Rattus norvegicus: one gene and its partner. Each later gene encodes a partner of the first gene's protein in a complex. Links are inferred from orthologs where the notes say so. Each region holds a gene or a part of one and is shown in the gene's direction. Other genes may lie near its edges. The genes, in order: Rps6ka1 and Synj2bp.

What was found.
Region 2: the proteins of Rps6ka1 (region 1) and Synj2bp are in contact, whole or in part, in a crystal structure (PDB 7P74), measured with the Homo sapiens proteins. The link is inferred for Rattus norvegicus from reciprocal best matches to the Homo sapiens genes RPS6KA1 and SYNJ2BP. Residues at the interface, in NP_002944.2 of Homo sapiens: Pro731, Ser732, Thr733, Thr734, Leu735; in NP_060843.2 of Homo sapiens: Arg18, Gly22, Leu23, Gly24, Phe25, Asn26, Ile27, Val28, Gln33, Ser45, Arg46, His78, Val82, Phe85, Arg86.

What each region holds. Positions count from the first base shown.
Region 1 is NC_086023.1:151,381,511-151,385,325, reverse strand, and holds part of Rps6ka1 (ribosomal protein S6 kinase alpha-1), read left to right. Parts: intron 1-1,052; coding exon 1,053-1,133; intron 1,134-1,318; coding exon 1,319-1,398; intron 1,399-3,012; coding exon 3,013-3,119; intron 3,120-3,815. UniProt on the Homo sapiens protein: Serine/threonine-protein kinase that acts downstream of ERK (MAPK1/ERK2 and MAPK3/ERK1) signaling and mediates mitogenic and stress-induced activation of the transcription factors CREB1, ETV1/ER81 and NR4A1/NUR77, regulates translation through RPS6 and EIF4B phosphorylation, and mediates cellular proliferation, survival, and differentiation by modulating mTOR signaling and repressing pro-apoptotic function of BAD and DAPK1.
Region 2 is NC_086024.1:106,934,549-106,938,363, reverse strand, and holds part of Synj2bp (synaptojanin-2-binding protein), read left to right. Parts: intron 1-306; coding exon 307-443; intron 444-3,815. UniProt on the Homo sapiens protein: Regulates endocytosis of activin type 2 receptor kinases through the Ral/RALBP1-dependent pathway and may be involved in suppression of activin-induced signal transduction.

The sequences.
Region 1 (3,815 bases):
GAATGTTAGGAATTTACCAGAACAAGATGGTAAAGTAAGGGTTGGGGATTTAGCTCAGTGGTAGAGCGCTTGCCTACCAAGCGCAAGGCCCTGGGTTCGGTCCCCAGCTCCGGGAAAGAAAAAAAAAAAAAAGATGGTAAAGTAAGGAAGGACGACTTCCCCCAACCCAGAAAGCAGGGACCATGTCCCTTTGGTGGCTGAAGCGTGAGGTGTGTTTGAAAGTGACTGGATTAGTTACAACCACACAAGGCCCCTGCCACATCTAGTGAGAGAAACATAAGAATCAAAACACAATAAGATGCGTCTTGACGTCTTGATGGGGAGTGCCAGCTTGTGGGAGCCCAGAGGTCCCAGCCTTGCCTGCAGGGTAGGGATGCTTCCCCGAGGCCGTAAAGTCTGAACTTAGTCAACCAAAAACCTGCTAGTGGTCGGAATTTGCTTGGCATCTTTTTTTATCCCCATCCCCAACCAGACATTCCCGAGACTTGTCATCGAAACGCAGGGTAGAGGTAGAGCAGAAGGATCAGACATTCAAGGCCAGTGTTGGCGACATCATGACTTCCAGGCAAGCCTGACCTACATGAGAGCTTGTCTCAAATAATCCTCCCCAGCAACTGGAGGAAAAGGAAGTTAATAAAACAAGGGAAGGAAGGCTGCTTAGACCCCAGAATGGCGTTTTAATATTACACTTAGAAGCTGTTGTGGAGGATCGAAAGAGGCTTGATAAGTGTGTGCTGAAGGGATACAGAGTCAAAGGCCGGGGACCTCAGAAAATTAAGCACCCTGGGGTACACGGTGCTGCAGGGTCTGGTGGTGGGTGAGGCTAGACAACTGAGCAAGACACAAGGACTATGCCTGGACGTCTCCAGGAGACCAAGAGCCACCTGAGGACCCAGAACATTCCAGAAGGAAAGAATTAGCTGAACGTCCCAAGGGTGAGAGCACCCTGGGGGGGCCTTGGAAGGCTGAGGGAAACCTCACCTAGAGGTGGACTTTGGGGAGAGGCTGTGTTGGGTGTGTTCTACTAGTGCCTTCTTTTCTCCTCTGGCCAGTGCGTGACCGTGTTCGGACCAAGATGGAGAGAGACATCCTAGCTGACGTGAACCACCCCTTCGTAGTGAAACTGCACTATGGTGAGACCCCAGACCCTGCCCAAGTGCCACTCGTCCCCTCAACGTCCACCCTCACCTACAGCCTGCTGCCTTCCTTGTCCCTTGTCCAACTTCTCACGGGCCTGGCCAAGGAGCCCAGAGTAGAGGCATTTGTCACAAGCTGACACTGGCCCAGCTGATCCCACATTGGCTTCCTCCTCTCTTAGCCTTCCAGACCGAGGGCAAGCTCTATCTTATTCTGGACTTTCTGCGTGGTGGAGACCTGTTCACACGACTCTCAAAGGAGGTAAGCTAGCATCCCACCGCTGGGGACCTGACAGAGAGTCCCATCCTGGGCCTGTGGGGAACACTGTCATTGTGGTGCGGCCTGGAACTTCCCGGCTCTGTTTGACAGTCGAGAAATGCCACCTGCCTCTGAGAATTTCTCTCAGGATGGGCTGAAGATGAACGGGGTCTAAAGGTGACACTGCTGTGATTTCTAGTTGCCGATCCCTCAAATGCTTGAGATAGACTGTGTGCTGGCCGAGGGGAAGAGGTCCAAACCCACCCAGGAAGCTAAAGACTTTAAGGTCCTTGTCATGTTGTTGATATAAAAAAAAAAAATACAATACAGGCCTCCACCGCCACAGGAAAAAAATACAAAGGGCCCAGTAGAAAAGGATCTGAACGTCATTTCTCAAAACCAAGATCATTAATACAATCCAACCATGGGAGAGAAGCAAGCTTGACCAGGCATTGTGGCACGGGCCTTAAGTTACAGTTATTTGGGAGACTGAGGCAGGTGGATTACAACATGAAGGCCTGCCTGAGTGACTAAAATATATATGGCTGAGATGTCAGTCAGTGGTAGAGAGTTTGTCTAGAATATACCAAGACCTGATTCAGCCTGGGTGTGGGGAAAGGTCACTCTTTCTGAAACAGCACCGACAGCAAACTTTACATGGGGACACACAGACAGACTCGTGGGCACACAGGTGTGCATATAAAGGCCAGAGGACAACTTGTAGGAATTAGATCGCTGCTTCCACCACATGGGCTCAAAGACACGCAGCCAGTCTTTACCCGGGAGTCTCACTTTCTCAGAAACTTACTTTCAATATTTAAAACATTAATGCTCAGCTGGGCGGTGGCGGCAGCCACACCCTTAATCCCAGCACTCGGGAGACAGACCGGGTGATCTCTGAGTTCAAGGCCAGTCTCGTCTACAGAGCAAGTTCTAGGACAGCCAGGGCTCCTCAGAGAAATAATGGTTCATCAGGCAGTCCATTTTCATGATTCAAAAGAAAGATATGCACGGTCAAGTCTTAATCACTACACAGTCCCTCTACCCCCTGGAAGTAAACATTTTTTTAATTAGTTTTTTTTTTAACCTTCTGTAAATAAATCCTACACATGTTCTGAGTCCCTACCCCTACTTTCTTACATGAGAAGTATTCATTCCTGCGCACTGTCCTGTGCCTGGCCTCGGGTGTCAGTGTGTCTCAGATTGTTCTGCATCAGGACAAGAGCAAACTCCTTGTTCTATGTCATGGCTGCAGAGCTGCCCTTCCCCCCTCCCCAACTGCCCCCACACCCCTCCCTCCACCATCCCACTACCCCCTCCCTCCCCACCCCCTCCTGCGCCAGGAGAGGCGGTTTATTCCAGTCTTTTATTCCTGGGTGTTTCCATTCTTTGCTGTTTCCAAACTCCAGCACAGCGAGCGACTCGGGTATTAAAGATATTGACTCTTTATTACAGTCCGTCTATACAATTAGACTGCGTGTTAGAGAAAGATTAGAGGAAGTTGCATTGCCTACGTCCCCCCCCCCCCCCCAAGCACCAAGAGGCTCCACTGCCCAGTAGCCCGGCTCCTCGGGAACAGGGTGTGCCAGTGGATGGGTGTCTTTTTCCCTGTGGCAGGTTATGTTTACAGAGGAGGATGTGAAGTTTTACCTGGCTGAGCTGGCACTGGGCCTGGACCACCTGCACAGCTTGGGCATCATTTACAGAGACCTCAAGCCTGAGAAGTAAGCGAAGCCCCTGCCATACTCCCGCCCTTTCTCCCGGGTGCAGGGACTGACAGCCCTTGGGCCTTTTAGGACTGGGCCACTCACTCAGTGTGTGGCACTCCCCGGGAACTTATCTCTCTTTGGGGCTGTCAGAGGGGTGGGTGGTTGCAGTGGTTGGCCAGCAGCAAATTCACCGTAGATAATTAGGAAGTGCCTGATAAGTGTGGCTATTACTAAAGGCCGCAGGGCAGCTGTGGGCCCCACCCAGACCTCCTTCCTAATACAGTGTGACATCGGACATGCTGCTGTTAAAAGATCGCTTCTATTTTCTTTCTTTTTTCCCTTTTTTGGGGGCAGGGGGTGGTGTTCAAGACTGGGTCTCTCTGTGTAGACCTGGCTGGCCTCAAACTCACCAAGACCAGCCTGCCTCTGCCTCCCGAGTGCCGGGCCTGAAGGCGTGTATTACTACCGCCCACCTCTAAAGATCATTTCTTTTTTTTTTTTTTTTGGTTCTTTTTTTCGGAGCTGGGGACCGAACCCAGGGCCTTGCGCTTCCTAGGTAAGCGCTCTACCACTGAGCTAAATCCCCAGCCCCTAAAGATCATTTCTTGATCTGTTCATTCTGGGGTTGGCCAATGAACTGCCTTCCAGTGCTGTCTGGAGAGCTGGGATAGATCCTGTTGGTAGAGTCAGACACATGCTAAGTCAGGCGTT
Region 2 (3,815 bases), on another chromosome or scaffold:
GGCGGAAGCACTTACATTAAGACTCTCCAATGCTACTTCCCATGTTAGTTTATATGTATTCAACCAATCATTTTGATCATGGTTCTGATCACAGCACCTTTGTACTGCCAGGTTCAAATGAGCAATCTAGGTACTTTCGGCCTTTGTTCATAATGACTCACTGACTGTCCATGACTGTGTTTTAGCTTACCTCACGGTCTGAATTGTCAGTCTCTCCTCCCCACTAGACCATTTTCCTCTCCTTTCTTCTCTAATCTTTCTTTCTTCTTCATCCCTCTCTCCTTCACTCCTCCATGATTTTCTCAGGGCTGGGCTTCAACATCGTCGGTGGGACAGATCAACAGTATGTCTCCAATGACAGTGGCATCTACGTCAGCCGCATCAAAGAGGATGGGGCTGCGGCCCGGGATGGGCGGCTCCAGGAGGGTGATAAGATCCTCTCGGTGAGAAATGGCTTCGGCTCCCTTTGTTATACTTTGCTTCCTAGACCATATCTGACTCCTTCTGTGGCCTGCCTTTTTGGAAATGAAAATATTTAGATTATATCATTGAATAGGAAGAACATCAATCAGTCGTCCAACTTTACCACTAGGCTGGGAGGATAGTATTATTCTTGCTTGACAGGCCAGGCAAATTTGACGTAGTTCAAAAAGCACAAAGCAGGTAGGGGTGAAGGACTGGCTAGGAGGAAGGAGATTTAAGGTCCATCCACACTTTTCAAGTTTCTCTTGATAATTTTATCACTTCTCTTTTGTTGACTAAAACACTGAATTGTGCCTTTTCTTGGGAGACTGTCAGCCCTTAATAATGGTCTGAACTTTAAAAAGCAAGGTAAGGATTAAGTTTCTGCTTCCTTACCCATTATTAAGCCTTATAAATGAAGAACAGTTTGGATATCTGTCAATCGTGTTCTCATTTCATCCTGTTAATGTATCTTATGACATAGTAATCATGAATCTTACTATTTTTATGTATTTAATAATAGGAATTAATATTTTTTAGCTTTCCATATCTTAGTATAGTGCTCAACATAGGCTTAATAAATGAGCAAATCAGAAAATTAATTTAAAATAGAAAGGTTGACTAACAAATACAGTCATATGGGCTCATAGACCCTTTAAATTTTTTATTATTTTAAGTGTGTGTGTGTGTGTGTGTGTGTGTGTGTGTGTGTGTGTGTGTGTAGGTAGGTAGGTAGGTAGGTATGTGTGTTTGTAGGGTAAAATGTACACATGAGTGCTGGTGTCATGGAAGCCAGAGGCATGGGATCCTCCTGGAGCAAGAGTTACAGGAAGTTATGAGCTGCCTCATGTGGTTGCTGAAAACTGAACTTGCGTCCTCAGAAAGGTTGGTGCATGATTTCAACAGCTGAGCCCTCTCCTCAGCCCCAGACCTTTAGTCTCTCAGTCAGTTGAATCTTTCTAAAGTAAATCAGAATCCAGGTGTAATAAGACTTTTAAAACTCTTACATGTGGCTGTATTTTTTTAATTTCTGTTCTATCTCACTGGCAACAGTGTCATTAATTATACCATCATTTTTGGGCATTTGGGAATGGTTAGACCATGCTATAAAATCTTACAAATCAATTTTTTTGTGCTATTGTAGCTCAGCTTATTTTTACGAAAATAACACACATGATTGGTGTAAGGAATGGGACTTGCTATCTAGGATTCCCCGTGAGTTAGACTTTCTTCTAAGGGCTGTGCTCAAGTTAAAAGGAATTCGAAGAAGGGTGGGACTTTTCCCTGCAGAAGTGCTTCCAGTTTCCACATGTGCTGTGGATTGTGGCTCATGGTCTAAGAAAAAGCAATTATTTCCTACTTTGTCTTATAAAACTGAATAGGGCAAGAGGGCCAAACCGGTAAAAGGCTGAAGTAAGTGAATGAAGTGTAGATCAAGACAAAATTTGATTAAGAGTTAAGGATTATGTCAGATACTTGATTTAGAACTTCCACAAAATAGGACTATGTCTTTTAAAGATTTTATTTTAGTTTTGTTTTGTATTTTCTCTTTTGAGTTGCCTCTCAGAGTTCAGCTGATTAGTGATAAAAGCCATAGAGTTTAGTTGATTAGTAATAAACGTTGTATGTGTGAAGCCTTCGGATCCTTTCAGAGACCAGCTTGTGGGTACTTCTCTGCCATCCAACCCATTTGGTAGCAGTATGTGAAGGCAGAGATACAGATGAAAGATAAGAGTGTCTCCCTTTCTTTCATTTGACATGTGAGTAGTATTTGAGAGATCCTTAGGAAGACACACCACCAAGCATGGTGGCACACACCCATACAGTCCTCTAGTACTCAGGAAGTAGAGGCAGGAACGTTTGTGTTTAAGTTGTGAATTAGTTAGCAAGATCTTATTTCAAGAGAGAAATACACATAAATCAGAGAAGTAGCCATGAAACCATGCAAGTTAATTCAAGAATCTGAAGAATGTGTCTGACATACAAGTATAACACTGTGGATGGTGCTGTGTTAGTTCCTCTCACTGTTGGCCATGCTGCCACCTACTAAGCTTCATCTAAGCCCTCTCCATTAGTCTACAAGATAGGGAAACTTAAACGCCTTTGATATGAAAATGCTGACGAGGAATTTAGGAGTAGGTCTTTTCTACCTCTCTTAGAAGAAAGACATTGTAAAACTGCAAACCGAGTTTGCAATAGGACAGAAAGAAAAATTGTTAGTGGGTTGTTAAAATAAAAGTATAATGTGTCACAATATCTCAGAGCACTAGCACCTATACTCGAGTAAAAAAAGACTTGAAAAATAGTGGGTTTAGTATGGGGCTGAAGAGACAGCTATATTGTTAAAAAAAAGCTTTAAAGATGGATTATCTAAAAAAAATTATGAACAATTTATATGCACAAAACAGAACCTTCAGTGTAAAGCTGTTTAATATTAGGGTAGTGCTGTGAAATGAGTATAATCATGCCCATTTTGCAGCTAAGAAAACTGAGGCTTGATGAAGTCAGGTGGTTTACAAGTCATACAACTAGTGTTGGTAAACTAAAACTTTAACCTGTCTGAATTTGAATTACTTACTAATACTAATGCTAATACTAAAATTAACACTATATTGTCTTCCTAAAAGGTAAATGAGTAAGTAAGATTAATTACTCTAAAAAGGAAGTAAATAACTAGTAGATGATAGACATGGCCTTAGAGAAAACTGAAATTAACCTTTCTACCAAGGGTAGAATTAATGGTATAAGTCAGAATTTAAGAGAATGTATTAGATATAAGCTAGGACAAGGAACCTTATGTGGTCCATTTTCCCTAGAGAAACAAAATTACTAGGAGGTCTCAAGAGTTAAGAAAAGCCTTTGGTCCTGTGACAGCTCGTTTCCCCAATGTAGGGGAACGCCAGGGCGTGGTGGTGGGAGTGTGTGGGTGGGAGTGGGAGCGTCCTCATAGGAGCAGGGCAGGGAGGGGGGATGGGAAAGGGGGGGAAAGGGGATAAGATTTGAAATGTAAATACATAAAATATCCAAGAAAAAAAGTTTAAAAATTTCTTTGTTTTAAATTATAAAAAAGAGTTGAGAAAGAACCGGAGATTAGTGGTGGGTGGGTGGTAGAGAGAAATGTTAATGAAGAGGAAGGTAGATATCTAAAACCAATAGCTCATCTAGCTTTAAAACTTACAGCATGTGGGTATAAAATTAACTCAAATAAATCAGTTGCCTTCCTCTATACAAAAGAGAAACAAGCCGAGAAAGAAATTAGGGAAACGACACCCTTCATAATAGACCCAAATAATATAAAGTACCTCGGTGTGACTTTAACAAGCAAGTAAAAGATCTGTACAATAAGAACTTCA